Linked DNA regions of Mus musculus. The protein of the gene in region 2 interacts with the protein of the main gene of each other region in a pairwise test. Links are inferred from orthologs where the notes say so. Each region holds a gene or a part of one and is shown on either strand. Other genes may lie near its edges.

Region 1 (16,127 bases), on a different chromosome or scaffold from region 2:
GGTGTCTTCATGTCAACTCCCCTGGAGCCCTGTACCAGCCATGTGGCAGGCATAGAATAGTATGAACAGGTTCAATACGCTGCAAGCTAGTCGAGGAACAAGCTTAGCTTAAGGCCTAGGCATTTATTAATTAATAATAAGCTTCTGAAAACTGGGCCTTGGGTGGAAAAGCCTGTGGCTACACCACCCACCTGTTATGACTAATTGCTTTTCTGGCTTCTGTAACTTACTTACACAGCTACCCAAAGATTTTTTTTTTAAATGTAAGTACACTGTAGCTGTCTTCAGACACCCTAGAAGAGGGCATCAGATCTCAGATGGTTGTGAGCCATCATGTGGTTGCTGGGATTTGAACCCACGACCTTCAGAAGAGCAGTCAGCGCTCTTAACCGCTGAGCCATCTCTCCAACCCGCAAAGATTGTTTTTGTTTGTTTGTTTGTTTTTTTTTTTTTAGTTTTTTTTTTGAGACAGGGTTGTTTTTTGTTTGTTTGTTTGTTTGTTTTTATGGCCCTGTAGACCAGGCTGGCCTTGAATTTATTAGAAATCCACTTGTTTCTGCCTCCTAAGTGTTGGGATTAGTGGCATGTGCCACCACTGCCTGGCCAAAGGTTGTTTTTAGTTACCCTAACCACTTAACTTGGGAGAACAGACCAGTTTCTACTTGCTTGCATAGACATTAAAGGTCTTCCTGTGGTTTTCCCCTTTAAAAACCCTCCCTCTGCCCCTCCTTCATGACATGCCTCAGATTGAGCTTTAAAGCTGTCACCCTGCTAGGAGCTAATCAATAAATCCTTTGATTATAATTAAATTGAGTCTATGGTCTTTCCCAGGGGTCACAAACTCTAACACATTAAGCGGACATTCCCTCATCCCTGATAGCAAGAATAAACTTTGGGAGCCAGCAAGATGGCTCAATAGACAATGAACACACACAGTAGATAAATGTAATAGAAAAATTTTAAGGCGAGGGGCACAAAGATGACTAAAGACTTGTTCCCAGCATCCATATGGTGGTTCACAACTATCTATAACTCCAGTTCCAGATGACTCTCTTCTAACCTCTTTCATTGCTGGGACACAAACACATATGCAGCTCAAATACTCATACACAGAAAATTTAAAAGTCTTAAAAAATGTCTTGAGGGCCAGCTGTGGTTGATTCATGCTCATTCCAACCAGAACCTTCCCTCATAGGCCCATGTCACATAGGCTTGGTCACATCTGGGGCACTCTTTTGGAGGCGTTTAGGAACTGGGAGCCTTAGGAGGCAGCTTGACTATCAGATGTAGGTCACTAGTGGAAAATGCAAGCACTGTTGGTTCCAACTGGTTAGGAAGTTTATTTTTTTTTGTTGTGAGAGGGTCCCATGTACTTCAGGCTGACTGGTCTTGAACTACGTGGCTGAGGATGACCTTGAAATGCCAACCTCCACCCCTCCCCGCCAAGAACTGGAATTACAGGTGTGTACCACACTTTGATTATGCTACACGCACATTAAGTGTGCTGGTTGGCTTTAATGTCAACCTGACACAAGCTAGAGTCATTTGGGAAGCGGGAACTTCAACAGAGAATCCCCACCAGATTGGAGGTCCTGGAAGCTGTTAGCAAGGAGGGCTGTGCAAGTCTTGTGGAACAAGACAGTAAGCACAACTCCTCCATAGTCTCTGCTTCCTGCCCTGACTTTCCTCAGTAAGGGACTGGGAACTGGAAGTCAAAAATGAAATCAACTTTTCTCCCCAAATTCCTGTTGGGCATAGTATTTTGTCACAGCAAAAGGAACCCTGAGCTGGGCGTGGTGTCGGACGCCTTTAATCCCAGCACTAGGGAGACAGAGGCAGGTGGATTTCTGAGTTTGAGGCTAGCCTGGTCTACAAAGCGAGTTCCAGGACAGCCAGGGATACACAGAGAAACCCTGTCTTGAAATACCTGAGACATTAAGCAAACAATTCTACCTGTAGTATAGCCCCACCCTCCAGCTAATTTAAGAACTATCAATTCCCCAGCTCCAGAGTGCTAGGATTACAGATGTGTGCAGTTGTACCCAGCTCCTGGCCAGCCCTTGCTTCCTATTGTCCACTGCAATGGATATAAGCCTGTTATGTCTCTGACATTTTGAGTTCCACCATGCCTTCCTGGCCACGAGGGGACTACACATTCTGCAACTGTGGATCAAAATAAGCCCTTCTTCCCTTAAACTGTTTCTGTTGGGACTAAGCTCAGGCAGGTTGGAAAAAATTAACTAACACAGCATACAAGAGGCACTAAATTCAATCTCTAGCACTACATAAAATGTTCACAGTTAAAAAAAAAAAAAAAAAAGCTCGGGTTAGAGACATGGCTGAACAATTAAGAGTGCCTTTAGCCTTCAGAGAGTCCAGTTCTAGGGTATCCCAACACCCTCTTCTGGCCACTATGGACACTGCATACACACGGTGTATAATAAAACAACTTAAAAACAAGCTAAATGTGCAAACTAAAACATGATGCTATAGTGGTAGGCAATGAATACTATCTTCCTCAAACACACTAATTCTGGGGTACTCAAGAAGGAAAGTCTAAGAATCAGGATGTGTGCAAAGGCAGTCCAGTACCTCAATGGACTCCACTTCAGCCGAACACCAGCCTACAAAGGACCCATCTCCCTTGAACACTTACTCAGTTATGTACTTAGTGTGGACACCTCAGAAGCAAATTAGATAGGATTCTAGGTTACAGCAAACCTCCCTCAACTACATCTCTTAAACAGCAACAAACAAAGCCGGGCATGGTGGCGCACGCCTTTAATCCCAGCACTCGGGAGGCAGAGGCAGGTGGATTTCTGAGTTCGAGGCCAGCCTGGTCTACAAAGTGAGTTCCAGGACAGCCAGGGCTATACAGAGAAACCCTGTCTCAAAAAAAAAAAAAAAAAAAAAAGCAACAAACAAAACCTAGTGGAAAGGGTAACACTTGTACTAGGTTAAACAGAGTGGGCTGCTGGCTTTGACATTCATATGAAGGGAGCTGGAGATTGCTCAGTGCACAACTGCTTACAAAGAACCCTAGTTCAAATCCCAGCATCCAGCCAGCTACCATACAAACTATCAGCTCCATATGACCCAGCATCTCTGGTCTCTGCAGGTACTAGCACCTCCATCCACACTAAACATGGAACTTCAAAGCTAGCCTTTTGTTTTTGTTTTTTCAAGACAAGGGTTTCTCTGTATAGCTCTGTCCTGGAACTCGCTCTGTAGACCAGGCTGGCCTCAAACTCAGAAATCCGCCTGCCTCTGCCTCCCGAGTGCTGGGATTAAAGGCGTGAGCCACCACGCCCAACTCCCCCTTTTGTTTTTAAATTAGCTTTTTTTTTTTTAAAGCCAATATTATTAGTCCCAGCACTTGGGAGGCAGAGGCAGGAGAATCTGTGAGTTCAAGGCCACCTGGATCTACAGAGCTAGTTCTAGGACAGCCAGGGCTACACAGAGAAACCCTGTCTGGTAAAAACCAAACACCAAAAATAAAAAAAGCAAAAAACATTATTACTCTTCAGTCGAGGCTGACCTAGAACTCACTACATGGCCCAGGCTGGCTTCAAATTCATGGGAACCATCGCTGCAGCACCCTGAATATGGAGAGTGCAGCTGTGTACCTCACTGTAGATGTGCATCTCCACATTGACATTTGGGGACAGGGTGGTGGTACATGCCTTTAGCTGGTAGTGGTGAAGCTCTGTAGAATAGGCTAGCCTTGAACTCACAGAGATCCACCTGCCTCTGCCTCGCAGGGCTGGGATCCAAGGCATGAGAACCAGTCTCTTGGTTCTTGGAGTGCCAACCAGCACTTGGGAGGCAGAGACAGTTGGATTTCTGTGAGTTCCAGGCAGCCTAGTCTACAAAGTAAGTTCCAAGACAGCCAGAGCTACATAGAGAAACCCTGTCTAAACAAACAAACAAACAAACAAGGGGCTAGAGAGATGGCTCAGAGGTTAAGAGCTGCTACATAGGTGCTGGGAACGAAAACTGGGTCCTCTGTAAGAGCAGCCAGTGAGTGCTCTTAACTGCTGAGCTATCTCTTCCACTCCCTCTCCCCACTTTTATTGTCTTTGAAACTTTTCCAAATCCTCTCTTTATGATAATGACCTTTTACCAGGCTCTTAAGTTACCAGGTACCTACCAGGAGTGTATGTGGGGGTGTGGGTGGGTGTTTCACTACCTGCAAATGCCAGTGTTTAGGAGGCTGAGGGGAGAGGGTGAAGGCCAGTCTGTGCTCTACAGTCAAAGCTTGGCCTCCTTTCAGATAAAGGTTAAGTGGTCAACTTAGCCAGAGATGGTTGACTCACAGGTACTGAGGCATCTAGGTTCAAAGCCAGCAAGACATGAAGGCATGAGACCATGCCTCAAAACAAATTAAACTGGCTTAAAACTTTAACATCCTATGGTCACATTAAAGTCTGTAGGGCCGGGGACCAGTGAGTGCCCTGCACCATAAAAACAGAAACCCTGGCTTGTTAAGTCTTACAAGGATCCAGGTGATCCACAGAACCCTGTCCATAAGCTGAGCCCAGTGAACACACTTGTAATCCCATGGCTTGCTGGGAGTCCAGGCAGCATAAACGGGATCCATGGAGCTCACTGCTGGCCAGCCTGCAGAGAATGCCTTAGAAAATAAGGTGTACAGAGCCCAAAGCACCAAGTTCTGCACTATGGACCCCCTGAAACGCACACAAGAGTCTCGACATAAACACACTCCGATGCCATGTAAAGTACAACTTCCATTTTATTTTTCCAGGGTAATTTTCCTTCCGTCCTTACAAAACGGCCTCTTTACATGGGCTTTGGTGGAGGTCGAGGTGCAGCGCCCTGAAAAACAAGAGATGAGCTAAATTAGAAATGAGGTACTCGGATCTGCTGCGGTTGCCTACTTAACCCCAGCATTCTAGAGGCAGAAGAATCAAGAGTCCTAGGTGAGCGAAGGCCAGTGAAACCTCTTTTTTTTTTTCTTTCCGAGACAGGGTTTCTCTGTATAGCCCTGGCTGTCCTGGAACTCACTTTGTAGACCAGACTGGCCTCGAACTCAGAAATTTGCCTGTCTCTGCCTCCCGAGTGCTGGGATTAAAGGCGTGCGCCACCACGCCTGGCTTCCAGCGAGACTTCTTAAAACAAAACAAAACAAAAAAAACCAAACCCACCCACCCATGTAGTTCACAGTAGAGCACTTACCAGCATTAAGTTGAGGACCCAGCACCTCAAACCAAAGAAACCAACCACCACCCACCTAGCATCACTAAAAGTGTTTCAGGTTATGCAAAACAGACAAGCATTTTTAAAATTTAAATGTAGGTCGTAGCTGCCACACAGACTAAATAAGACCTTAATGGATACTTCTCTGGGTAAGACTATGTATGTCCCAAGTTAAAATAATTTACTTACAGCAGGTCTGAATCGTGGTGGGGGTGTTCGGTCCTTCCGGGCCTCGCGGGATCGATTCCTAACAACCTTGCTATGGATGGCACAGCTCACGCAATAATGCAGCTTGACATAGAGCTTGGGAAGCACGTAGGCTGAGAAATCGAGAAGCAGATTAGACAGACGCCCTTTCCTGTGATTCTCTTATTCTATTGGTCAGGATTACCCTAACCTCCAAGTTTTACTGATAAATGACACCCAATGAAAACCAGAGAAACCAACACCACACCCAACATACACCAAGAGTTCAACTCTTGGGCTAGAGGTTGCCACTCAAAAGGCCAAGGCATCCTCAAAGCCAAAGTGGGCCACACAATATGAGAATAGCTCAAGTTAGGGAGTCTCACTCTGCTGGCAGGCCTCATGGTTACTACTGTTAGGTCAAGAAAAAAACAAAACAATGAACAAACAGACAAAAGCCAGCCAGGTGCTGTGGTGCACGCCTTTAATCCCAGCACTAGGGAAGATCTCTTGAGTAGGTCTACACAGTGAGTTCTGAGACGCCAAAAACCAAGTCACAAACTGCCCAAACCAGTCTTTGCCCGTTTTAAAAGCTGTTCAATTTTTTTCAATAACTAAAGAATTATGCTTTTTCAGATTCTCCTAAATAGGCAGTCTCTCACAGGGATGGGATGCAGGGGTTTGGCTACCATGCATGAGCCTCAATCTCCACCCCAAGAGAAAAACCAAGTTAAAACCCCATCATTAGGCCTGCTTACTGTGCCACAAAAGGCACCTTCTCCCCAAGCTGAAGACAACGAGCCATACACACCCTCCTCACTCTTCGTCCCTGTACAAATCACGGCTGTGGCTCACTTACCGTCGAAGACGCTTGCTTCAGATATGTCCCTGACAGCAGCGGCTTCTACAATGTTCCGAATGACAAACTTCTTGATGGCCTTATCCTTGGGCACGCACCGGGCGCAGTTCGTGCAGCGAATGGGCTGCACATGGCCGCGGCCCTTTTTGGCGCGACCGTTGTTTCTTCTTTTTTTGGTCTGAGAATGGAAAGAGACGCTATTGGAAAGGGGGCGAGAATTCAGCCCTTCCTGGCCGGCCGCCGCCCGCAGCCCCGACAGAGACCCGTACAAGTCCCGAGCACGCCAAGTCCGGGCTGGACGGACCCTTTGTCACTTTCTCCTCCAAGACTCTGACTTTCAGGTCCCTACCGTCCATAGATCTACTTCTACCCCAGTACCCAGGCCCGCGCGCTCACCACGCGGCGACACTCACCATCTTGGAGCCAAGACTCGAAAGAGGATCCGGCGGCTTGCCCGACCCGCTTATATAGTACGAGATTCCTACGCTCACGCTGAAAAAAAAAACCCTCAGCGACCTGTAATTCTATTTACTCCCTAGCAGCTATTATGCTCGAATTTACCTAATTACTTAGAGTTTCCTGTGAAATGTAGGGTTGTGATAAGTCCCTAGAAATGGTCTATGACGAAAAATATCAGTGGAACTATTTAACCTTCCGGCGGAAGATTAAAATGTTACATTCCCAAACCAGGAAGTGATTACAAGGCTCTATAACATCCGGTTTACGATAGTTCCAGAGCGGAAGTTATCCAGAATTCGGACGCACACTCCCTAGTGTGGGAGGACAAAAGAGATGCATTGTGGGAGTTGTAGTACGACTTGGAGAGGTTCTCTCTTGCCCGTAGTAGACGGACTAAAGGCGGCGCTAAACCACCTTAAGACGCCATGATTTATTTCTTTGAAATATGTGTTCTAAGTGTAGGAATTAGAAATAGAAGACCTGGGAGAAATAAACCATTTGTAAATGCGTCTTTCCAAATAGAGGCTTCGAGTGTTGGGATTAGGCCACCACGCTGGGCTTGGACCACCATTTTATTTCCAGATCCTATTAACACAGATGAAGCACTGTAGTTAGTACATTGTATGTACCAACACAATTTAACTGATCAAGTCTATCAGATAGTTATTTATTTTGAAACATAGTCAAGTAGTCCAGGCTGACCTGGAACTTATTTGGTTAGCCAAGTGTGACCTTGAATTTCTTTTTCTTTTTTTTTTGATTTTCATTTCCCTAATTGCTAGAGATGAACTTTCTTCTTTTAAGATATTTCTCAGCCAGGCGTGGTGGCGCACACCTTTAATCCCAGCACTTGGGAGGCAGAGGCAGGCGGATGTCTGAGTTCAAGGCCAGCTGGTCTACAAAGTGAGTTCCAGGACAGTCAGGGCTATACAGAGAAACCCTGTCTCGAAAAACCAAAAAAAAAAAAAAAAAAAAAATTTAAAAAAAAAAATAATAAAATAAATAAATAAAAAATAAAAATACCTTTGCGATTTTTCCTTATTCTGGTCAGAATGGCAAAGATCAATGGAACAACTGACAAGAAATGACTGAGAGGATGGGGAGGACTCACTCACTGTTGGTGGGATAGCAATCTGGTATAGTCACTATGGAAATCAGTGTGGAGAACTTTCAAGAGATAAATCTATCACATGACCCAGCCATATCTCTCCTTGGCATATGCCAGAGGGACTCAACATGTTACTCTGCAGATACCTGCTTAGACACGCTCATTGCTGCTCCAAACACAATAGGCAGGAGATGGAACAACCTAAATGTCCTACATCTGACAAACACGTAGTGAAAATGTAGTTCATATACACTGTGGAATGCTGTCCAGCTGTAAACACACACACACACACACACACACACACACACACACACATAAATCATGAACCTTGCAGGTAAATGGATGGAGCTAGAAAAGATCACCCTGAACGAGGTAACCCAGACCTGGAAAGTCACTGTCATTGGAGGCTCTTAGCTGCAAACCTTCAGGTGTGAGTTCACATATCATATATCCTAGAGCAACTGCAGAAGTGGGAGAGTAAAGTGGAACCACTGCCAGGATCGGGGGTTGGGGAGCAGTAGCGGGGGAAGCGGCAGTGTACATGTGACCTGATCAAGGAAATGGGAAGGGAGGTGTTCCTTAGGGAGGAAGATCAAAGTAAATTCCGAAAAAGATTCAAAGAAGGCAAAAGAGACTAGTAGTATACAATTGATCTGATAGGGACGTGGGACCTCTTTAGGGAAAAGGGAGGGAGGTAAATACAGAAGAAGGAAGTGGATGAAATAACAAACATTTCTGCCAGGCAGTGGTGGCACACGCCTTTAGCCCCAGAACTTGGGAGGCAGAGGCAGGTGGATTTCTGAGTTCGAGGCCAGCCTGGTCTACAGAGTGAGTTCCAGGACAGCCAGGGCTACACAGAGAAACCCTGTCTCAAAAAAACCAAAAAGAAAAAAACAAACATTTCTGTAAAAAGCCACAAAAAATTATACTGCATTACCTACTTACCAAGAAACCCTATAATACACATCAACCCATGAATAAATACACACATATATTTTTAATGCATCTTCTCACCGGGGCTGATGGTGCTCCCTCTGAGAGCTAAAGACCACCCAACGAAACCCCAGTACCAAACAATACCAAAAAGAGAATCCATCTTTTGAGGTGTTGGCCAGGGTTGTCCAAGAGACTCTCAAGCATGCAGCAGCCTCTTCCTGTTGCCCTTGGTTATCTCTGAGATGGAAGGTATGTTCCTGCTATTTCTGAATACAGGAAGCATGTCAGAAGCAAGGCCCAGAGACCCCTGAGGTGGAACTGACCTGAATATTTCCTCCCTGAAATCTAGCTTTCCTGGTACCAGAGGGCACCATCTGAGGGAGTCAACCTAAAGTTCTCCTGCTATGATCCCACTAACCACATCAATGACCAGCATGGCATATAACCCTAAGGTGCAGTAGTGGCACACATATTTTCACAGTAACCAACAACTCTCTGGTTGGACTTAAGAACCAGTCAGTGAGGGGCTGGAGAGATGGATCAGGGGTTAAGAGCACTGACTGCTTTTCTGAAGCTCCTGAGTTCAAATCCCAACAACCACATGGTGGCTCACAACCATCCGTAAGGAGATCTGGCACCCTCTTCTGGAATGTCTGCAGACAGCTACAGTGTACTTACATATAATAAATAAACAAATCTTTAAAAAAACCAAAAGAACCAGTCAGTGAGAGGGGGACCATGGAAAGCTAGTTAACTACTCAGTGCTAGTGAAGCCATGGCTATTGGAGGAGAAGCTACTACAAATTCTTCTTCTTCTTCTTCTTCTTCTTCTTCTTCTTCTTCTTCTTCTTCTTCTTCTTCTTCTTCTTCTTCTTCTTCTTCTTCTTCTTCTTCTTCTTCTTCTTCTTCTTCTTCTTCTTTTCAAGACAGGGTTCTCTGTGTAGCCCTGGCAGTCCTGGAACTCACTCTGTAGACCAGGCTGGCCTCGAACTCAGAAATCCGCCTGCCTCTGCCTCCCAAGTGCTGGGATTAAAGGCGTGTGCCATACTGCCCGGCAAGCTATGACTTCTAATTTACTATGCCAGCATAATCCCTTGCAACAATCTATAAACGTTTGTCCTTACACCTACAAAGTATAGACTTCACCCCTCATCAAGGAAACTTCTCTTTACAACAGATGGAGACCACTACAGAAAACCACAACCAATCAAAATGCAGAGTTGTGGAGCACAGTCCCAATGGATACAATGACAAAAACATTTCTGCACCTGAGGCTCAGGGAGCATTGCAGAAGAGGGGGTGAAAGACTGTAAGAGCCAGAGGATCAGGGAGTTTGCCTTGAGAGTGTGTCTCCTTTGCAGCATCAGAAACCACACCCATGTAATCTTACCAATACTACTGCCCAAATGCAGGTTGGACAAGGATGATACCAAAGAACACATCACATTGAATAGGGAAAAGCCCATGGGGCCTCAGTCCCGCACAAAGAAGTGCAGGCAACTGGAGAAAGCTGGGGGCAAATCGAGAGAGGTCCCCAGGGAAGACCATACCAACTGGTTATCCTGTAGCAAATGGTAAACACTGATGCATACATACTGGTAGCATTATACAGACTGAACAGGCTATATCTAGGAATATATGCATATTATATACATGTATGCATATGTGCAATAATAATAATAATAATAATAATATAAATCATTATGTTATTATAATAATAAGAAAAAAAGACCTTGAATTTGAAAGAAACTGGGGCTAGGTATATGGAGGAAAGAAAGGGAGAAATGTTATAATCAAAGTATAATCTAAAATAAATTAAAATAATAATACAGGCTAGTCACGGTGGCCCACACCTTTAATTCCAGAAATTGGGATGCAGAAGCAGGTAGATTCCTTTAAGTTCCAGACTAGCCAGGCTACAAAGAGAGACGCCCTGCCTTTAAAAAATTCTGTTCTGACGCCGGGCATGGTGGTGCATGCCTTTAGTCCCAGCATTTGGGAGGCAGAGGTGGGCAGATTTCTGAGTTTGAGGCCAGCCTGGTCTACAAAGTGAGTCCCAGGACAGCCAGGGCTACACAGAAAAACCCTGTCTCGAAAAACCAAAAAAAAAAAAAAAAAAAAATCTGTTCTGCTAGACCAACAACTTCAGTAGTGTTGTCTGGTTTCCTCTCAGTCTTAGACTTGTCTAAGTCTTGAACAGAGAAATAGTTGGTATGAAGTCTGCCTCCCTCCCAGAAGGAAAACAAGGGAAAGGGAGTCTTCAAGAACAAACAGGGGTTAAATTACTCGTGTTTATTTATAACAGACCTTCAGCCAGTACAGTACAAAACTTACAGTAGTATTTCTCCATTACACAAATATTTACTTACAGTATGTTACATATACAAAATGCTTTGCAGTAAGTCTCAAAAGCTGGTTTAACCCCCTTTGAGAAAAGAGAAAAACTCTTTAAAAAGAGGGAAGGGGAGAATAGGTCAGGAACCAGAGGAAGAGAGACAAGGTCAAGGGTCAAGGGCCAAAGGGGACACCGAACAGGCTACAGAGGAACTCTGGGGAGAAGGAGAGGTGGTATTGCACTTGCTTCTGTGTTTATTCTATTTTTGATCTTCATAATTTCTGATTAAAAATATATATATATTATATACACAAGGAAAGAAGCTGCCAGAAGTATTATAAAATTCCACTTGCAGCTTGGACACTGACACACACACACACACACACACACACACACACACACACACATACACACACACACACACACACACACACACACACACACAAAGGTCTGGAAAAGTGTCTATTTAGAAATTCTCTCCCTTCCCTCCACTTTTTTGTGGTGTTGTTTTTTTAAGAGTAATAAAAAAAAGAGAGAGAGAGAACACCTCTTTTCTCTGTGTGGATTTTGGCATTTTGTTTTTTGTTGTTGTTTTCTTCTTTTTCTTTACTTTTTTTGTTGTTGGTTTTTTTGTTTTGTTTTTTTTTATGCAAAAGGATCTGGGAGAGAGCATGAGGATGTTTGAGGTTCCAGAGCTGGAAGGCCCTGAAAAGTAGCATTTTGTACCTAAGACCCTGGTTAAAGTGCAGTGGTGGGCTGGAGAGAGACGCCATGCCCCCTCCTCCCTAGCACCTGGTCTTGTCCCTTCCACCTCTGCTCTCATGGGCGTTAGCATAGCCTCGGAGGAGCATAGTCCTTTGTGTTCCTGGGAGGTCACAGGTGCTAAGACTGACTAAACAAAGGGAGGGGTGGGGCACTCTAAGGCTCTAGCGCCTCAGAGGGACTAAGTCCTTCTGAGGTGTCCTCGAATACAGGGCAGACACAGAAGAGGTGGGAGCGGGTCTAATGGGAGCTCACAACCAGAATGGTTGAGGAGAAGCCCAGACAGTAACCTCAGCTGTGTGCCAGCCCAAGAAGGAATTAGTGCCAAGGCTCTGTTGTGGCGACCCTTCCCTTGTCTCGGGACCACTCCTTTCAGAGCTCAGACCTCATTCTCTTGCCTTTGGCAGCACCTGCTTATTGCTACATTGTCAGGGAAGAACAGCCCCACAGAGCTGCTCTCTGCCAATCTGGTCCTTTTGGGAAGCAGTGCCAGGGCCGAAGGAAGAAGAGAAAAGAGTGGTTTTCACCCCACTACCCTTCTCCCGATAGGAGAAAGTCGACTCTCTTCGGAATGCTTAAGAGCCCCAGTCCCAGGATCTGATCTAGCCCACCCTTTCTCGTGCCTCTCAACGTCCCTAACAGGGAGTGAGGAAAGTAGGGAGAGGCAGAAGAGATAAAGAAAGGGCACGTGGGAAGGAAGATGGACGGAAGGGAAGAGAAAGGGAGGGTGAAGACCAAGACTATAACTTATGAGGTGTTGTGTTTGGTTTTTTTTTTTTTTCTTTTCTTTTTTTTTCCTTTTCTTTAAATATAGAAAAAACATCCTTTGGTTTGAATCTCAAAGAAGCAGAGAGTGGGATGGTTGTGGCCCTGGCAGGGAACTCTTTAGAGAGAGAGACTTCCACCTGCAATGGAGCTATGCCTCCTCCTGCATGGTCTCACGAATCCTCGATTATCCGAATAGCCAGAGTGTCTGCAACCACCAGAGAAGACTGCCTCTCCTGCCCTGTGTCTGGAGCTAAGTATGGAAAGGGCAGTGGAGGTGACTCCCAGCTGTGTCCGTCCCATTCTTGCTGGGACAAGGGTGGAATGGTTGACGGGCACATACGTGTAGTTCATCCTGGGACAGTTTTTTTGGTTATACTGAAAATTGGCAGAGAGAAAAGAGACATCCCCTTTCTCCCTGCCATTGATCATAACAGGGCCCAGGAGCCTGGGGACGAGACGGCGAGTCCTGCTGGAAGGGAGGAAAAAGGCAGCGTGACTGACAGGGTTGAGAGACCCCTGGTCATCGAGCAGCAACCCGCTGGTTTCTCATAATATGGGGACAGAAGGAGTCCCTGAGAGCCTAGGAAGGTCACTGGAGTGTAAGTGTTTGAAAGGTGGAGGAGAGAGTTCTACCCATCCCCCTTCCCATGCCCTGGTTCTCAGCTAGGTACCTGCAGCTCTCTCTGTGTGTCAGAGAAAGGGTAGCAGGTCTAGCCTTAGCCCCTGAGAATATAAAATGGGGGCATTCCAAGGAGAGAAAAGCCACCAACTGACAAGAGTGGCGAGTTGAGACCAGAGTGGTGTTGAGGGGTGAGCCAGGGAGAGGGAAGGGTGGTATCACATCCTAGAGGGAGGTCCTGAATGTAGTCTTTAGGGAGCTCGGATTCCCAGGTGAGGTCAAGAGGACCCTCAGTCCACAGTGCCTGGGGAGAGTTTCTACAGCCCCTCCTACCTGCAAATGAGGAAATTCTTCATTCATTTAAGAATAGTGCAAGCTGCCTAAAGTGAGTGGGCACGAGAGGTATGGAGTGCCGGGCTGAAAGGTCCCAGAGAGGAGATAATAATGCCACAGAGCTAAGGTGGGGCCGTTGGGAGGTATCAGCATCAAAAGTGAAGGGTCAGATAAATAAGGGTGAGGATTAAAGCAAGAAGCCCAACGTCTCTTAGCACAGAGAGGAGCTTCCAACCCCTGGAGCTGTTGGAGGATGTGGGATCCACACACACACACAAGTAATAATAATAATAATAATAATAAAATAAAAAAAAATCTAGGCTTAGAGCAGAAGGGAGCCATGGGCAGAAGAATGAAGGAGTGGCCAGAGATTGCAGTAAACTAAGAAAAGGCCAAGTTAAAGTCAATTTAAAAAGCAAATGTGCCGGGGAGAGAGGTTAGAAGGAGAAATATAAGCAAGAGACTTGTCTTGTCGAAATGCTCAAATCGGTCAGGGTAGAAGGGAACAGGCAAAGACGGTTGGAGTCAAGTGTGAAGTGAGGCGGCCAGTGGGTGGGGCTACAACGCAAAACTCCTTAGGGTGTAACAGGAATTGGGCTAGACCCCTGTAGGTAGGGCAGTAGGGTGGGGGCCGGGCTGAGAGCAGGCTGTGGGGAAAGAGGTCTCTAGCCCACCTTATGTTCCCCCCGGACGATGTGGGAAGAGAACTCATACCGATCCTGGCTGTGATAACCACAGATGTTACACTCAAAAGGGTCTCTGAAGCCGTGGCAGCCCATGTGGATGGTGAACATGACGTGGTCCAGAAAGAGGATGCGGCAGTGTTCACACTTAAAGGCCTTCACTGGCTCACCACTCTCACCCACCACCCGAAGCACTTCCTTGGAGGGGCCTGGGGTGCCCCGCAGTAACCCCTCCTGTGGTTTGGGGTCCTCTTTGGCATAGGCGGGACTGTGCCGGCCCACCACTATGGTGGGAGGAGGTTGGGGTGGGGGACCCTGAGGAAGGGATACCACCCCACCAATCCGGTCTTCGTGGTTGCTCTCTGTATCTGTGGAGTCCTGGCAGCCATTGCTGGGGGATGCCCCAGGGTCAGTCAGAGAGCCTCGGGCCCGATAAAGGAGGGGACCTCCATCTCCCAGGTCCTCCGGTCCCTCACCTGCTTCTCGGGACCCTGGAAGCTCCAGTCGGCTGGGGATGGGCTGCATTTGGGTGTACACAGAGCTGATGACAGGTGTGAGTTCTGAGATGCAGTTGGTGGGTGGGAGGCGGAGGGGACGCAGATGCTCTGTACCCACAAAGGCTAGAGACCCTCCAAAGCCAGGCTCCAGGCCATGGTGTGCCACCAACTCTACGTCCTTTTCATAGCCACCGCTGGCATTCACATCATAGGGAAGGTCTGAGAGGCTGAAGCGCATCTGCTTTTCACCTGCGGAGGAGGATCAGATCTCATTGGCATTGGATTGGAAGAACCCTTATTCTTTGTTTTCTAACCCAGGAACCTAACTATAACAGTATCCTTATTGATATTAATTAGTTTTGGGGACCCAACCCTGGGCTTTACATGTTATACATTCTCCCACTGAGCTATCTCTACAGTCCCAGGTGACCTCACTTACTTTCCCTGAGGGTCAGGCCCTGGGCAGGCTACAGTTCTAGAGTAAGGCCTCACTATGAACTCATCACTTTAAAATATTTCAGGTCCTCAGAGAGATGTCATTTGCGGGACAAGGAACCACAAGTTGGCTTCCTCTCACTGACTCTAAGATCAGCCCATGTAGACTGAAGTCCTTGTTCTCTTCAAAGGATGGCAAAGCTCGATTCCCCCCTCCCCCCGCCCCCGTTGAGTTCTCGATACTGACCGGTCTCTACTCTCTTTGTGTATATGTGTGTGTGCATGTGTGCACATTCATCACTGTGCTTGTACATGTGCATGTATATATACATATAAGCGGAGGGCAGAGGACAGACCACCCTGGGGATCTTCAGGACCACCAGCCACCATCTTTGAAACAGGATCTATCATGGGCCTGGAGTTCACCAGGTAGGCTAGGCTGCCTGGTCAGTCGGCCCCAGGGCACTGTTCTTTCTCTGCCTCCCCAGTGCTAGGGTTACAAGCACAAGCCATTATGCCTGGCATTCTTAGGTAGGTCCTGGGGGATGAAGTCTCTGGTTCTCATTGCCCTTTACAGACTGTGCTATCATCCCCCAACTCTCTTGAAGCACTCCCTTCCATCCACTCCCTTCCGAGTGGAACCCTCTGAGCACCACAGAGACCACTTGGCTCATTTTCCCCCCTAAATCAAATCTCCAGACCCAGGTCTCGCTGGTCTAATGGCAGTCGAAACTGTGATGTATTTGAGCTGTGGCTCGGAGCGGCTATCTCCTTTCGAACGGGAACTCTTACCTACAAACTTCTGTGGGGTGGAACGCTTGCGTTTGGTGAGGCTGTTGGCCAAACGATCAATGAAAGTTGGCCGTTCAGTCGATGGGTGCAGCATTGAGTCAGGCACCATCTCCAGGTCACGGATTTCATCACCTGGAG
Region 2 (16,446 bases):
AGGTGGGCTTTTTAAAAAAAAAAAAAAAACTATTCCTACATTGATGTTAATTTTTTAAATCCCTGTCCCCAGGGAGGGCGGGAGCTAATTGCTAGACTCACTTGAATTAGTTTCCTCCCAGTACCCCACTTCCACCCAGCTCCCCACAAAAGTACCAGAGGCAGGAGACCTGGATTCAAGTGCCAGCTCTGCTACTGACCCTGGGACCCCAACCCACCCTTTCCTCCTCAGCCAGTGTCTTCACATGTATGACCTTACATGGGGTGGTGACTAGACCCTTCTTGCCTTTCCCATGGCTTATAGCTTCTACCTAGCCCCAAAGCAATCCAGTATTTTATCGTCCAGATCCATGGCAGGGCCACTGGGCAGGACGGGAATGGGGGAGGGGGGGGGAGGACAATGGATACTGTTTTTTAAAGAAAAATACAGTTTATTTCAGGCATACAGTAACTTTCAGAGCACTGCTATGGTCCGTCCGTTTGTCCAAAGTCCCAGGCTACTAAGGGAGATGGGAGGGTACAGAAACTACTCTCTTGCCAAATTTTGAAGCTCAGCTTGCAGAAAGCTGATTCCAAGGTTAAATCATGGATTAAACAAGAAAATGTTATATGTTATTAAGGTCTTAAGCCTCATCCCTGGACTTAAAACAGCCCAACTTTCTCAAGTTCACCACTTTTAGTCAAGTCCTTCAAACTCTCAAGGGTATTCAAACAGGGAGCATTCCCAGGAGGATGCAAATTCTGGGCAGGATGAGGGTTGTTCTGAGGGAGGCTAGGGTGGGGACATTGGGGAATGTAGAGATGTCTACATCTTTTCTCTCTTCCAACTGTATGCTTATCCTGGCTGGATTACCAATCCAGCCAGCCTACCACTGTGGAATTCTGGTCCTTTCCACAAATGTACCTGCCAGTTTTCCACAAGTCTGGTCTACAACCACACCCACACTTGTCAGCCGTCTTCATAGTCACTGCACCTAGGAGGTACTATGCTGGGAAACCTGCTCTTAGCTCTCATATGGTACCTTAAGATTCAAGGGGCTGGAATAGGTCCCATCAACCCCACAACTAGGGCTTTCCTTCTCCTGAAGGGAAGGACAGGGGAACAAAGAAGGGTTATGGTTTCCAGAACAGAGGTGTATAGCCCCCAAACAGCTCCTATAAGTCTCATAACATTTAACAAACGAGGGCCCAAAACATGTACTGCCCTGCTCATTTCTTTCTCCGGACAATGGTCCAACCGTCTTCAACTATATCCTCTTCCTTAATAGTCTGGGTGTCTGGATCAGAGGGTTGAGGCTGTGGGCAGACCTCGTCAGTTGTGGCCCCATCATTAGTAGCTGTCACCTGGAAGGAAGATACAAGAGAAGTCTCTTAAGTACATTACCCAGGCTCTGCTACTAAGTTTTCCATGACTATGTGAGCTATCCTTGAAAATACCACTACCACCTACAACCGCCATCACTTCCCTGTGAATCTAGCTAGAAAATTAAAAACATTTAGGAATACCGCCCCTCAGTACAGGCACCTCTTTCACCTCCATTTCTTCCACGCTGTCCACATCATCTTCAGCCACATCAGTTTCTTTGGCTGTCATAAGTGGGGTAGCCGTGACTTTGCACTTTTTTTGGTTGATCTGAGAGGTCATCTCCTGAAGAGCAGCCCCATCACCCTTCTGGAAGTGGTGGAACATGGTCTGTAGCTGTTGGCTCACCTACCAAGGAAATAGCCAACCGCCTTAGATTTTTTTTCAGACAATCTACCGTAAAACCAGCCTGTTTACAGCAGAGAAGGGGGTTTGGAATTTTCAGGGCTCTTTTTCTCCCTAAGAAGTTCATCCAAGCAGATGGGCACAGTGGTGGATGCATATAAATGAGAGACCTCAGAGGCAAGAGAATTTTGTGTTTGAGGTCAGCCTGGCCTCATAGTAACACACTGTCAATAAAACAACAGCTGGAAGTGCTGACACATCTTTAATCCCAGCACTCAGTAGGCAGAAGCAAGTAGATCTCTGAGATCAAGGCTAGCCTGGTCTACATGGCAAATTCTAGGACAGCCAAGGATATATAGTAAGACTGTGTCTCAAAAATAAATAAAGCAACAACAAAGTTCATCGAAGCAACCACAATTCAAGGGCTGGGGTGAGGGCGTGAAGCCTTGAATGAGGGCCTCCTAGAAGAGAAGGAAGGTACTAGAATTGACTAAGTGGTACACAAGCTATAATCCCAGTACTTAGGAAGCTGAGGCACACTGACTGCTATGAATTTGAGGTAGGCTGGGCTACACAGTACATTTCAGGCAACCCATGTTAGAGAGTAAAACACTGTCCCCCAAAAAAGAGAAAGGGACTGAAGATGCAAAATGAAAGATGATCTCACCAGGGTAAGCAGTGTTAATCAGAATAGGGATGGAATTTGCTCCAACCCAGCTTGTGGGGTGTGGGGAAAATACTGGTTGAGAATGATCTAAATAGAGAAATAAAGGAATGTTTGAAAATGCAATAGGGAATGTCTGCGCCTCAAGAAAAGAATGATCACAAGAACCTTGTCCCTAACACAGTAGGGAGAAAGAGCAGGCAGGGGGCTGGCAGCTGTCTCCATAAGCTCACCTGGGGCAGACTCCCATCTTCCACAACTGTATCAAACTCAGTGGTCATCAGCTCCCCAAGAAAATCTTCTATCTCTTCCAGCTCCAAGTCAGCTAAATAGGAAAGGACAGAACCCTTTAACCAAAGGCCAACTTCATCAGCCCTCACCATTCTTCAATACTTGCCTGCTATATCTGGTTAGCAGGTAAAGGTCCAGTGACCCCTTGTTCACTGAAACACCCTCTTTTACTTGTCTATTCTAACCAACCTCAGCTAGAGCGACCTTGAGCAAGCTGCTCCTCTCAGAGCCTTCAGGAGGGTTTGTTGAGAGGACTCATTTACACAGTGCTTGTCACAAGGGAGATAAAATCCCTAATATTAATATGCATCACTTCACAGCTGAAGTACTGAAATGTGGAGACCCTTCACAACTGTGGCTCCACTAATACAGGAGTCCAGAGATTCAAGGGCAATGGGTAAGAAGAAATGGACACGGGACTTCATTGATTTTTGGTGCTGGGGATCAACCCCAGGGTGAAGCACATGCTGGGCAAACAACTACTGAGCTACAGCCTCCGCTGCATGCACTACTTTCAAGACTGAAATCATAACCTCAATACTGCCTTCAGACTTTGGAGCTCAGTTATCTTCTGGGCCAATGGTCTATCTTTCCTAAATGAAAGACTAGCTTTCTTTTCCCTATATGCCTTCTCCCAGACATAGCTCTTCCACACTTCTACTTTTACCTACCATTCAAATCTTACAGCCTTAAAATTTGTCTTCCGGGGCTGGTGAGATGGCTCAGTGGGTTAGAGCACCCGACTGCTCTTCTGAAGGTCCAGAGTTCAAATCCCAGCAACCACATGGTGGCTCACAATCATCTGTAACGAGATCTGACTCCCTCTTCTGGAGTGTCTGAAGACAGCTACAATGTACTTACATATAATAAATAAATAAATCTTAAAAAAAAATTTTGTCTTCCACTCAGGCTAATTATGTGTCCAAATGTTAAACAGGTCCCTATATCCAAAGCCAGGTTTATTATCCTGCCTTCCAAACCAGCATCTCATCCTCCAAGGTTCCTCTATCCAATGAAAGGCTTCTATCTACCCTGCCACTCATCATAAATCTCTTTTCCAAACCCCCTCTATTGATACTCTCTTTTTCTCTGACCATTGCCATTGTCCTACGTTAGACATTATTTTCTTTTTTCTTTTTAAGATTTATTTATTATATGTAAGTACACTGTAGCTGTCTTCAGATGCACCAGAAGAGGCCATCAGATCTCATTACGGGTGGTTGTGAGCCACCATGTGGTTGCTGGGATTTGAACTTCGGACCTTCAGAAAAGCAGTCGGGTGCTCTTACCCACTGAGCCATCTCACCAGCCCCCTAGACATTATTTTCTATACTAACTACTTTCTGAATTTTCTAGCTAGCAAACACTACTTACTTACCTTAGAACCTGCTCATGAATTTTATCACCTATTGTGAAGCTTGCCTTTAGGAAATATTTTGCTGAGTTTCAGGGTTTTGTTTTTATAACAGGTATGTAGCCCAGGCTAGCATCAAACTCACTATATAATACAGGGTTAGCCTGGAATTCCTCCTGGTAATTGATTATCCTCCTTCCTTCACCTCCCAGTGCTAAGATTACAGGCATGAATCACTATGCCTGGTTAATGTGGCTCTAGGGATTGAACCCTGGACCTCTTATGTTAGATAAATACTCTACCAATTGTGTTACATTCCCAGCTCAATTTTGCTGAGTTTTACGGGAAGATCTCCATAAAAAGCTAATGGAAAACAGAGTCAGGACTGATGGCACACACCTATATAACCCTGCACTCAGGAAAATGAGGCATGAGGAACATAAATTCCATGGCAGCCTGAGCTATAGAAGGAGATACTGTCTCCAATTACTACTACTACTACTAGGAATAAAATAGCAGCTGGAAGAAAAAAGCTTCTATAATTTGACTGGAGAAACATTTTCTTCATTGAATATCTAACGAGACAAGTCTTTTATAGCTTGAATTTTACAGACACTGGCTTTCTATCTCTATAAGCAAAGTCACAGAAGGCCTTTTATCTCTTACCCTTTAGTCAGTGTCTCTGTACACACACACACACACACACACACACACACACACACACCATTCTCTACCACTCTTCCATCCCCTTAATATAATGCACTTAACTCCTTTGAGTACATGCTTTATCATCTCTACCTAGTTTCCCCCTTTTCATTCCTTAGGCCTCACTCTAATCGCTACTCTTAAGAAGGCCTCTTACTGACCAGTGGTGGCGCGCACACCTTTAATCCCAGCACTTGGGAGACAAGAGACAGGTAGATCTCGGAGTCTGAGGCCAGCCTGGTCAACAGAAGAGTTCTAGAATAGTCAGTGCTACATAGCGAAACCCTGTCTCAAAAAAAAAAAAAAAAAAAAAAAACCCAAAAAACAAAAATCAAATCAAAAAGGCTTCTCCTCAGGCTCAGTTAACTGAAGAATTCTGAGCTCCTCTTTAGCATAACACACACCACCCAGTATTTTAACTATTCATTTACTTACCTGAAATCACTCACTAGATTGTAAATGTTGAGCTGTGAATCTGCCTAATACCATCCTCAAAACTAGGATATTGGGGGCTGGAGAGATGGCTCAGTGGTTAAGAGCACCAACTGCTCTTCCAAAGGTCCTGAGTTCAAATCCCAGCAACCCCATGGCGGCTCACAACCATCTGTAAAGGGATCTGATGTCCTCTTCTGGTGTGTCTGAAGACAGCTACAGTGTACTCATATAAATAAAATAATCTTTAAAAAAACCTAGGATGTTAATGAAGAGTTAAAAAAAAACAGCATGCAATACTCTAAGTCCTCTTGTTCTTTTATACCCCACCAAGACAAAATGGAAGTGTAGAACTTTTGTGTAGAAGCAGCAGCATGTGCTTATCGAGCACAAGCACTTAGAATGTGGCTGGTCACAAATGAGACGTACTAAGACTTTTAAAATTCCAGATTGTGCCGGGCGTGGTGGCGCACGCCTTTAATCCCAGCACTCTGGAGGCAGAGGCAGGTGGATTTCTGAGTTCAAGGCCAGCCTGGTCTACAGAGTGAGTTCCAGGGCAGCCAGGGCTACACAGAGAAACTCTGTCTTGAAAAACCTAAATAAATAAATAAACTCCAGATTGTGAAATTTAATACTAAAAGTGAAAAATGCTTAATTCTTATGACATACTAAAATATTTTGGAAGAGGATTTTTGTTGTATTTATTTCATGTGCATGTTGTTTTGATTGCCTGTGTGTGCACTGTGTGTACCTGGTGCCCAGATAAGGACAGAAAGATGATATCAGAACCCCTGGAACTGGAGTCATAGATAACTATGAGATACCATGTAGGTGCTGGGAACGGAACCGAGGTCCAATGCAAGAACAAATGCTCTTAACTGCTGAGCCATCCTTTCAGCCCTGTGTTACTTATTTGTTAATTACATGTATGTGCATGCACATGTGTACAGATGAGGAACATTTTGGATCCTCTGGCGCTGGAGTTACAGGTGGTTGTGAGCTGAGAACCCAACTCAGGTTAGGAAGAGCAGGACGCACTTTTAACAGCTGAACATTTCTCCAGCCCCTTCTTTTATCATAAGGACAACTTGGGGATATGGAGCTTGAAACTTAGAGCAATTCCCCTGTCTCCGTCTCCCTGGTGCTAGAATCACAAACATGGCCCATATGCTAGACCTTGGATATGAATTTAATAACACTATAATATTTGCTTCTTTCATTCATTTATTCATTTGTGGTAGTATGAGTAGTGTAGAGCCTCACATGTGTGTAGTAAGCAAGCACTTCCATTGAGCTATATCTCCAAGTCTTTATATTATTTTTATTATGAGACAAGGTTGTGGTGAATCTGAACTTGAGGTCCTTTTGCATCAGGAATATGAGAGTACATGCCTGCACCACAGGGCCTGGCTGCCTTTTATTTATCAGAGGTACTGCTTTTAGTTTTGGTGGCACCAGGGTTGGAGCCCAGGGACACGAGCAGACTAGGAAAGTGCTCTACCACTGGGCTACACTCCTCACCCAACAATTTTAAAATTATATTTACTTGTGTAGGGAGAATCAGAGGACACCTTAAGCGTGTACCAGTTCTCTCCTTCCATGTTGTCCCAGCTATGAAATTCGGACTGTTATGCTTGTTGGCCTTTGTCCACGGAGCTGTCCCCCACCCCTCATCCAGCAATTTTAAGTTACAAGATATGACTCGAATAGTTCTTTTCGTCGGATCTTTCCATAACCATTTTAGAAAGTAGGAAAATGACTCTCTGGAAGGCAAAATGCGTTCTCCAGCATAATAGCATTTGAGTGTCATTGCCTCTAAGGCACTCTAAAGACACAATTCTGATCTCAAAGTCACGATTCATTCATCAAACGCGGGCTCTCTACGTCGAGGCTCTGCCACGCCACACTGCGACAGACAGCAACACCTCACATTCACTCACCATTGGCGATGAAGTAATCCTCCACTGCACCCCCTAGCCACTCGGCCTTCTCCTGGCTGTGCACGCCCCCGAAGCCATTCTCCACAGCGATCTGTGAACACAGGCCCAAGCCAACCATGACAGCATGGAAACCAGAACGGCGTGGCCTGCCGGGGCCTGGGAGTCTGCCGCTTACACCGCCCAGCCATGGCTCTGGCGCCTCGCCTGGTCAACTTCTATTTTGTCACAGCCTTAATCGTGACCCCCCGCCAGGACCTCACTTACCTGTAAAGCAGGCCAAGCCTCCAGCGCAGCTCGGACTGCAGCTCCGAAGAGCACACGCACATCTTCAGCGGCGCCCGCCATCATCCGTTTAGATCACGTGGCTCCCAGGCAGCCCAATCGCTAGGGCGACCTCACCAGGCAAAAGGAGCCAAAAGCCGATTCTCAGAACGTGGTTTAGTTTTCTGCCAATCTGGCTGGCAGCAAGACCAGAACAGTGGGAAACGCCATCAGTGGTAGATGCTACCACTTACCACAGTAAATCCTAATAATTAAAGGAGAACCTGGAGCAGAGTACTTAGGAAGCATAGCTGAAATAAAGAGGAAAGGAGAAAAGAATAGCGAGGGCGAGAAAACCTACATTTGCGAGGCTCAGCAGATAAAGGCAATTGCCTCCAAGCCTGAAGAACTGAGTTCAGTCCCTGAGCCCTACAGGATGGAACTAGAGAACCGATTTCTGCAATTTCCTCTCACCTCCACATGTGTTACACGGCATTCACAGGCGCAGGCACTCCCACACACAATAAATAAATGTAATTTTAATTTTTTAAAAATAATTATTTTATATATGTGAGTACACTGTCACTGTCTTCAGAGACACCTCAGAAGAGGGCATCGGATCCAATTGCAGATGGTTTTGAGCCACCATGTGGTTTCTGGGACTTGAACTCAGCTCAGGACCTCTAGGAAGAGCAGTCAGTGCTCTTAACCGCTGATCCATCTCTCCAGCTCCAACAATTCATTCTTGAGTCAAATATGAGTGACCATGTCCAGGATTCAGGTTGTCCAGAAAGATATTTTCTTTTGTGGAAGTGGTCAAATGACATTTTAGTAGTTACAGAACAAAGAAAGTCCTAAGTCAAAGCATTTACTAAATCTATTGATAGAGACTACAGGTAGTGGGATGAGGAAATTTCTGCTTAGGTTTCAGATACTGTCTGATGACATTCTTAGCTTTTGGATTCATAGATGCTCGCTGTTAAGTATGTATTTGAAAAGTTGTGATAACCACGAGATTTCTCGTTCAGATTCAAGGGAAGACAAGGAATTGTTTTCAATGGGATTAAAAGTAGCTCAAGGTCATTTGTCTCTCCTCTGTAACATTTTTACTCACCCCAACCACAAAGCTCCGTCATTTGGTCCTATAGAACGGTCCATACAGATGTACCTGTTCTTTTCTCTAGGAACTTCAGTTTCCACTGTGTAGCCATGTCTGGTATTGGACTCTTACCACACTCTCCTAAATTCTAGGACTAATCACACACCACCACACTTAGCACAGAATATAGATTTTTCTGAAGTTCACAAGAACATTCTCCAAGACACACCATGTAGTATTCCACACAACAGCGTTTAGTATGTTTTAAGGACTAAGGGCTGATAATGTTTCTATCTACCTTGCCAGCATACTGGGGTCCTGGAGTTTCATCCCAAGACCACAAAAGAAAAAAAAAAAAAAAAGAAAGACTGCAAAGCAAAATTAGAAATTAGTAAGAGAAAGAAACATGTGAAATCCATAAATTTGTGTAACCTTATGGACTCTATTTTATGGAAATAGGTCAAAGGACAAAAACAAAGGGAAATTGGAAAACACTATGAAATGAACCTTGAGTGTTGTAGCTGAAGTACTTAGGGGACACATTTTTAGCTTGCAACAAAAATGTTTGAGCTGTAAATATTTAGAAAGAGCCCATGGGGGAGATACAGCCCACCACTGCCCTCAGCAGTCTGAGGAGTTCTGTCCTCCTTCAGGTAAAGCCAGGCCTTTGATTACACTGCAGGAAAGAGGTTCAGGATAAGCCAGCATTGTGATATGATCATCCAGTGTTATCTGATTGTTAGGATCATTATGATATATGATAAGCAAAGTTAATGAGATTTAACTACAAGCGTTTAGAGAACACATTAAGCTCTGTAAGCATTTAGAAAAAGGAACAGTTAGCAAAGGAAGCATTTGTTCTGCTAAAGGAACACACAGCAATAAAATGACACCTAATGACAGTCTCCTATACCGGTAGATCAGTGCCTCTTTCAGCCACCATCAGAGAAGCTTCCTCTTGCAGAAGCCGGGAACCAACATAGAGACCCACAATGTATTGAGAGTGAGAAGCTCTGGTCTTAAATGGAATGTATTCATGAAAGCCCTCTTCAGAATCCCACAGAGGAGAAGGTGGAAAAGATTGTAAGGGCCAGAAAAGATGGACGACATGAAGGAAATAAGGCCTTCTAAATGCAAGAGGACTGATGCACACAGGAACTCACAGAGACTGTGGCAGCATGCACAGGGCCTGCAGCAGCGTAAACCAGATGTGGCTCCCGTGCTTAGAAGGGAGGTAGATGCAAGCCCCCATCCTTAATCCGGAAGGTACCTCCAGTTAACTGATTGAAAAGGGGAAAAACTAGTTTTCTCACTGGGGATACAAACCACTCTTACAGGCAGGCTCTACACGCAGCAGTAGATAGCCAACAAAAACTGGACTCAATGGTATTTTTGTAGACTTCATCTGGTGTTGCTTTGTTTGAGCTTTTTTTTTTTTTTTTTGTCTACTGGCCTTTTGCTTGTATACTACAGTTTCTGATTTTGTGGTTTGTGGGTTTTGTTTTGTGTGTCTGTGTGTCTATGTATTTCCCAAGCTTTTTCTTTGTTTTTTTTTTTTTTTTTTTTTTTTTTCGAGACAGAGTTTCTCTGTGTAGCCCTGGCTGTCCTGAAACTCACTCTGTAGACCAGGCTGGCCTGAACTCAGAAATCCTCCTGCCTCTGCCTACTGAGTGCTGGAATTAAAGGCGTGTGTCACCACTGCCCAGCTGTTTTTATTTTCTAATTCTGTTTTGTTTGCCTGTTTGTCTTCTAGATGGAGAGAAAGAAAGGACATAGAGGGCTAGGGGATGTAGCTCAGAGATAGAGTGTGTGCCTCGTATGTGTGAGGTCCCAGGTTCAATCCCCTGCATCTCCAAGCAGTCATCAATCTGTTTTTCATTCTTTCTCAATAAAAAGATTTTCACTTGTACATTTTGCCGGGCATGGTGGAAAGGTGAGTTCCTGGACAGCCAGGGCTATACAGAGAAACCCTGTCTCAAAAAGAAAAAGAAAGGACATAGAGTTGGGCAGGTGGGAGAGAAGGATTATCTGGGTGGACCTATGGGAGGGGAGACTACATGTACGTTCCTGACCAGATAGCCCAGTGAGTAAAGTCACTTTGCCACCAAGCCTGACTATCTGAGTTTGATCCTGGGGTTCCATAGAATGGAGAGAGAAAACGACTAGAACCAATTGTCCCCTCCCCTCTACACATGCCCTATGCAATGTCTCTGTGTGCCCATGTACAGATACACATACAACTAACCACAAATGTTCTTAAAGTGTCAAACTGAGGCATGAGATACATTCATGGCATCTCAGCACTCAGGCCGCAGAGGCAGAGGCAAGAGGATGAAGGCCACTCTCAGCTACATATCTGTGTAATGAGTTTGAGGCCAACCCGATCTACATGAGACTGTCACAAAGAAAGGAAGGAAGAAAAAGAGAAAGAAAGAAAAAGAAAGCTAATAGTGCAAGATTAATAAAAATAAAATATACATTTTTAAAATAAAGAAGATGGAGCTGGTGTGGTGGTGTTTGCTTCAGCACCTGGAAAGTAGAGGCAGGTGGATCTCTGTAAGTTTGAGGGCAGCCTGGTCTGCATAGTGAATTCCAGGACAAGGGTTACATGAACCTTGTCTCAAAACAAACAAAAGGATTGGAGAGATGGCTCAGCATGTGCTCCTTTTGCAAAGGACCCAAGTACACATTCCAGCTCCCACATGACAGGTCACAAGTGTCTGTAATTTCAGTTCCAGAGGATCCAGTGTAGTCTTCTGGCCTCCACAGGCACCAGGCATGTACTCAGTGCACATACATACACACGGACAAAACACTCACGTGCATAAAATAAAAACAAACCACTAAAAACCCCACAAATTTCAGCTCTGAGCAGACAAGTCAGGCTACACAGCTGATGCTAACTTATAGTCTCCCACTGCCGCTGAGCGGGTGAGCAGAGTAAAGCATCTGCCATATTTGGTGATAGGTCATTTGTGACTTTGACAAGTGCAGGTTCTGTAGAATGATGCAAAATGAGACTGGAGTCGATTGAAGAGGAAATGGAGGGTGACGAAGCACCAAGACATAGTTGGAAGAGTTTGGCACAATTCAGAGCAGGTTCTTTATTTCTATTTTTATTTTTTTCTTGAAACAGGGTCTCATGTTGCCTAGGCTGGTCTCAACCTTGATAAATAGTGGAGGATGGCTTTGAACTCCTGATCCTCTTGTCTCTACCTCCCAAGCACTGGGATTACAGCTCTGAACCAATGTGTCCAGCTGGAGTCTTAGTTGTGGAAGATACTGGAGCATGTGCTGGTGGCTCCAAAAAGAGAAACTGGTGGTACAGAGGGCATCAGAGAGTACTGAGAGAGCTATGTCCTTCAATGATTATGAAACAGACATGGAAGCTGGCATAGCAGCACACTCTTGTGATCCTTGCACCTAAGAGACAGAATCAAGAGGGCCAGAAGTTTAAGGATGCAGAAGTCTGGAGGGTATAGTCTTTGACATGAGGTGGCACAGTTCTTCATGGGAGAAGTCAGAGGAAAAGGAATTTAGGTGAAAGGAGTATTGTAGGACTGCAGAGATGGCTCATCGGTTAAGAGCACTGACTGCTCTTCCGAAGGTCCTGAGTTCAAGTCCCAGCAACCACATGATGGCTCACAACCATTCATAATGAGATCTGATGCCCTCTTCTGGAGTGTCTGAAGACAGGTACAGTGTACTTACATTAAATAAATAAATAAATAAATAAATAAATAAGGAGTATTGTAGATTGAGTGAAGAGATAAGGAAATACCCATTTGAATGTGTCTATTTGTTCTTGTTTGTATCTTCTGAGACAAGACTAAGTTGCTCAGACTAGTAGGAAATCATGATTCTCCTGCCTTGGCTGAGGTTCCCAATACCAAGCTAAATATGTCTATTTTATTTATTAATGTAGTAGTAGTAGTAGTAGTAGTAGTAGTAGTAGTATTTTGTTTTTCTGAGACAGGGTTTCTCTGTGTAGCCCTGGCTGTTCTAGAACTTACTCTGTAGATCAGGGTGGCCTCAAACTGAAGAGATCTGCCTGCCTCTGCCTCCCCAGTGCTGGGATCAAAGAGTTTGTACCACTACTGTCTGGCATGGCTGCTCTCTTAAAGTTAGGGGAGTCCACCTGAAACCCTTGATTATTGGAAGATCTGAAACCAGGCACCATTCGTGCGAGGTAACAGCTGGATGGAGGGGATGGATTCTGTCTGTAGTGTAAGTGATGCAGGTGCTCTATGGCTTCCCTGCTTCTCACTGTTCCTTCCCTATTACTGTAGTCAGTCTCGGTCTATGGAAAGCTTCTCACTTGACACACTACCCAGCTTCTTTTATTTATTTTTAAATATTTATTTTTTAATCATTCTCTCGCTCCTCTCTCTCTCTCTCTCTCTCTCTCTCTCTCTCTCTTCCTTATCCCCACCCCACACTCTCTCTGCTCTCTGGTGATTATGAACCACTTAGCAGGAATTCTGGGAACTCTGGTCCTCTGGAAGAGCAGCAAGTGCTCTTAACCACTGAGTCATCTCTATGGTTCCTCTTTTATTTTTAATTTCAAAAAATTAAACTTATTTATTTATTTATTTTAATTTTTTCCCAGTGTGATTTTCTGTTTTATTTTTGTTTTTTTGGGTATTTTCTTCATTTACATTTTAAATGCTATCCTGAAAGTCCCTCATACCCTCCCCCCTTATTTTAATTTTTAAAAAGGATTTATTTATTTATTTATTTATTTATTTTGTTTTCTTGTTTTTTGAGACAGGGTTTCTCTGTGTAGCCCTGGCTGTCCTGGAACTCACTTTGTAGACCAGGCTGGCCTTGAACTCAGAAATCTGCCTGCCTCTGCCTCCCAAGTGCTGGGATTAAAGGTGTGTGCCACCACCGCCCGGCAGATTTATTTACTTTTATGTATGTGAGTACACTGTCACTGTCTTTAGACACACCAGAAGAGGACTTCGGATCCCATTACAGATGGTTGTGAACCACCATGTGGTTTCTGGGAATTGAACTCAGGACCTCCAAAAGAGCAGTCAGTGCTCTTAACTGCTGAGCCATCTCTCCAGCCCCATGTATTTATTTCTGTATGTATGTTGTGGATGTGTGTGTGGTGGTCTGAGAATTATCTTATCTCCTTTGACTCTGGGTTCTCAGGATCAAAACTCATGTCATCAGGCTTAGCAAGTGCCTTCACTTGTTGAGCCACTTCACCAGGTCCCCTTTCCCCCTTATAGACTATTGCATTCATCTTTCTTCTCAGTCTAAAGAATTGTTTCCAGTATCTTCTGGAGAGCTGGCTTAGTGGACATAAACTCTTAAACCTGTTTTTCTTTTTTTAATCATGGAAAGCCCCCCTTTAATTATGTCGGTTTTGGGCTGGTGAGATGGTTCAGCGGTTAAGAGCACCGACTGCTCTTCCAAAGGTCCTGAGTTCAAATCCCAGCAACCACATGGTGGCTCACAACTATCCGTAACGAAATCTGATGCTCTCTTCTGGAGTGTCTGAAGACAGCTACAGTGTACTTACATATAATAAATAAATAAATATTTTAAAAAATTATGTCGGTTTTGCTGAGAATAATCTCAGGGATTGACAGCTGTGATCTTTCAGAACTTGATGCACACCATCCCAAGTCCTACTGGCTTTTACATTTTTTTTTTGAGAAATCAGCTGTTGTTCTGATGAGTCTGTCTCTGTATAACTCAGTATCTCTCTCTCTCTCTTGCAGTTTTCAACCAATATACTATGTTTGTTTTGTATAGCTAGTGTTTAAATTATAATATGATGAGGAAGTTTCTTTTCTAGTCCTGTTTGTCTATAGAATACTAATTCTGGACAGACATCTCTCTACTTAGATTTGTTTGTTTGTTTAAGGCAGGGTCTCACTTTAGTCCAGAATGACCTGGAAGTCACTCTGTAGCTTAACCTATCTTTGAACTCACAGTGATTCTCCTGGCCTTAGAACCCCCAAATGCTGAAGTTTCCGATATGACCCACCATACCCAACTTCTTTCCCCATATTTGAGAATTTTCTGTTAAGATTGTATTGAAGACATTTTATGTTTGCTTTTTCATCAGTATTTCTTTTTTTAAAAAGATGTACTTTTACTTTATGTGGATGAGTGTTGCCCTGCATGTCTGTATATGTATACTGCCCACAGAGGGCATAGGAAATTGTCCAATTCCTTAGAACTGGAGTTATGACAGTCTGAGCCACCTTGTGGGTACCAGGAATTGAACCTGGGTCCACTGCAAGAGCACCAAGGGCTCTTGACCATTAAGCCATCTCTGTAGCTGCACACATCAGTATTTCTACCTCGTTGTTGAATTCCATTTTCATATCCCATATGTATTTCCTTATTTTATTCAGATGTTTGTGTTCTCTTAGAATTCATCCAGGACTTGTGTTTTCTTTGATCTAATTGAACATATTTATAAATCCTTTTTAAAAATTCTTTGTGGGGACTGGAGAGATGGTTCAGCAGTTAAGAGTACTAGCTGCTCTGCCAGAGTTCAATTCCCAGCAACCACATGGTGGCTCACAACCATCTGTAATGGGATCTGATTCCCTCTTGTGGTGTGAATGAAGATGGATCTCTCATATACATAAAAATAAATAAATAATAAATATTTTTCTAAAAAAATCTTTGTGTACACCTTTGTCTAATTCCCTCTTGTTGGGGGCCATGACTATGGGTTTGTAACTATTGGAGGAGACTGCTTTTTCTTTAGCCTTTGTCCTTGTGTTGAGACTTGCATATTTGAAGCTAAATTGCTGGATTTTTTTTTTCTTATTTAAGTCACATTTCATTGTTCAGTGGAAGTGTTTTTGCTAATCAGGAAGGACTGGGTTTTAGTAGGGTTAAGGTATAATATTCCTCTCTTAGCACACCAGGCTCTTACCCCACCCCACCCCCACCCCCACGAGTAGAATACTGTCTCTGACAACAATTACTATCCAGGGATAGACCCACTACAAAAGAGGAATAGTCAGCTATGAAACAGACACCCTTTAACTGTTTTAACATTTTAGGGACTAAGAGACACTGGTGGCACTGTGTGTACTATGTACTAACCTAGTGGTTATTGTGGTTAAGATTCAAAAAGAAAATATAAAAAGAAGACAATATGACAAGTGATTAGTACTGAGTTGATAAAAGTAGAAAGGAATGTTGAAGGGAGAATTATAGGAGAAAGGGGGATAAGGTAGACTGAAAAGAGACAGTTAAAGATGTGTTATCAGACAATGTAGTACTGTCCCATTTCTCAGGAGAATGAACCACGAAGATCCTGCAAACCATGCCAATCTTTGTTCTTTGGGAGAGGAAAGAGGAGAAGGAAGTATTAAGAAGAGGGAAAATAGGCTGGAAAGATGGCTCACTGACTGTTCTTCCACAGGTCCTGAGTTCAATTCCCAGCAACCACATGGTGGCTCACAACCATCTGTAATGGGATCTGATGCCCTATTCTGGTGTGTCTGAGACAGCTGCTGTCTCATATGTATGTATGTATGTATGTATATATGTATGTATACTCACATACATAAAATAAATAAATAAAAAAAAGAAAAAAATAAGAGGGAAAAGAAGAAACACTCGGCAGGAACATAGCAGGACTTTGCTGGAATGTTGATTTGACACTGATTTAAACATGGTAGGAATATGAGCAAAGATTAGGGAGAGCTACATGGATATATAGGGCATAAAAACTGACTGGTCTGCTGGGCAGTGGTGATGTATGCCTTAATCCCAGCATTAAGGAAGCAGAGGCAGGTGAATCTCTAAGTCCAAGACCAGCCTGGTTCACATAGTGAGTTCTAGGACAGCCAGAGTGTCGTGTCCGCTCTCGACCAGCAAGAACAACACGACCACCAGTCCTTCTAACAGCAGTTTATTCAGCAAACTTCAGTCTTCATCTCTCTCGCTTCAACTTTCTCATCTTTTTCTTTCTTCCTTCTCTGACCCAGGCCTCTCACTCTTATATACT

The links.
Region 1: the proteins of Tsr2 (region 2) and Rps26 interact in binary tests that used the Homo sapiens proteins (3 or more experiments, as listed by UniProt). The two-hybrid records come from large-scale screens. The link is inferred for Mus musculus from reciprocal best matches to the Homo sapiens genes TSR2 and RPS26.

What each region holds. Positions count from the first base shown.
Region 1 is NC_000076.6:128,619,801-128,635,927, forward strand, and holds Rps26 (40S ribosomal protein S26), read right to left. Parts: upstream 6,707-16,127; 5' UTR 6,679-6,706; coding exon 6,676-6,678; intron 6,441-6,675; coding exon 6,263-6,440; intron 5,538-6,262; coding exon 5,407-5,537; intron 4,837-5,406; coding exon 4,801-4,836; 3' UTR 4,729-4,800; downstream 1-4,728. Other genes in the region: Ikzf4 (zinc finger protein Eos), read right to left, coding at 14,248-15,011, 15,990-16,121.
Region 2 is NC_000086.7:151,089,072-151,105,517, forward strand, and holds the start of Tsr2 (pre-rRNA-processing protein TSR2 homolog), read right to left. Parts: upstream 7,473-16,446; 5' UTR 7,442-7,472; coding exon 7,358-7,441; intron 7,185-7,357; coding exon 7,094-7,184; intron 2,697-7,093; coding exon 2,605-2,696; intron 1,711-2,604; coding exon 1,525-1,710; intron 1,344-1,524; coding exon 1,209-1,343; 3' UTR 1-1,208. UniProt on the Homo sapiens protein: May be involved in 20S pre-rRNA processing.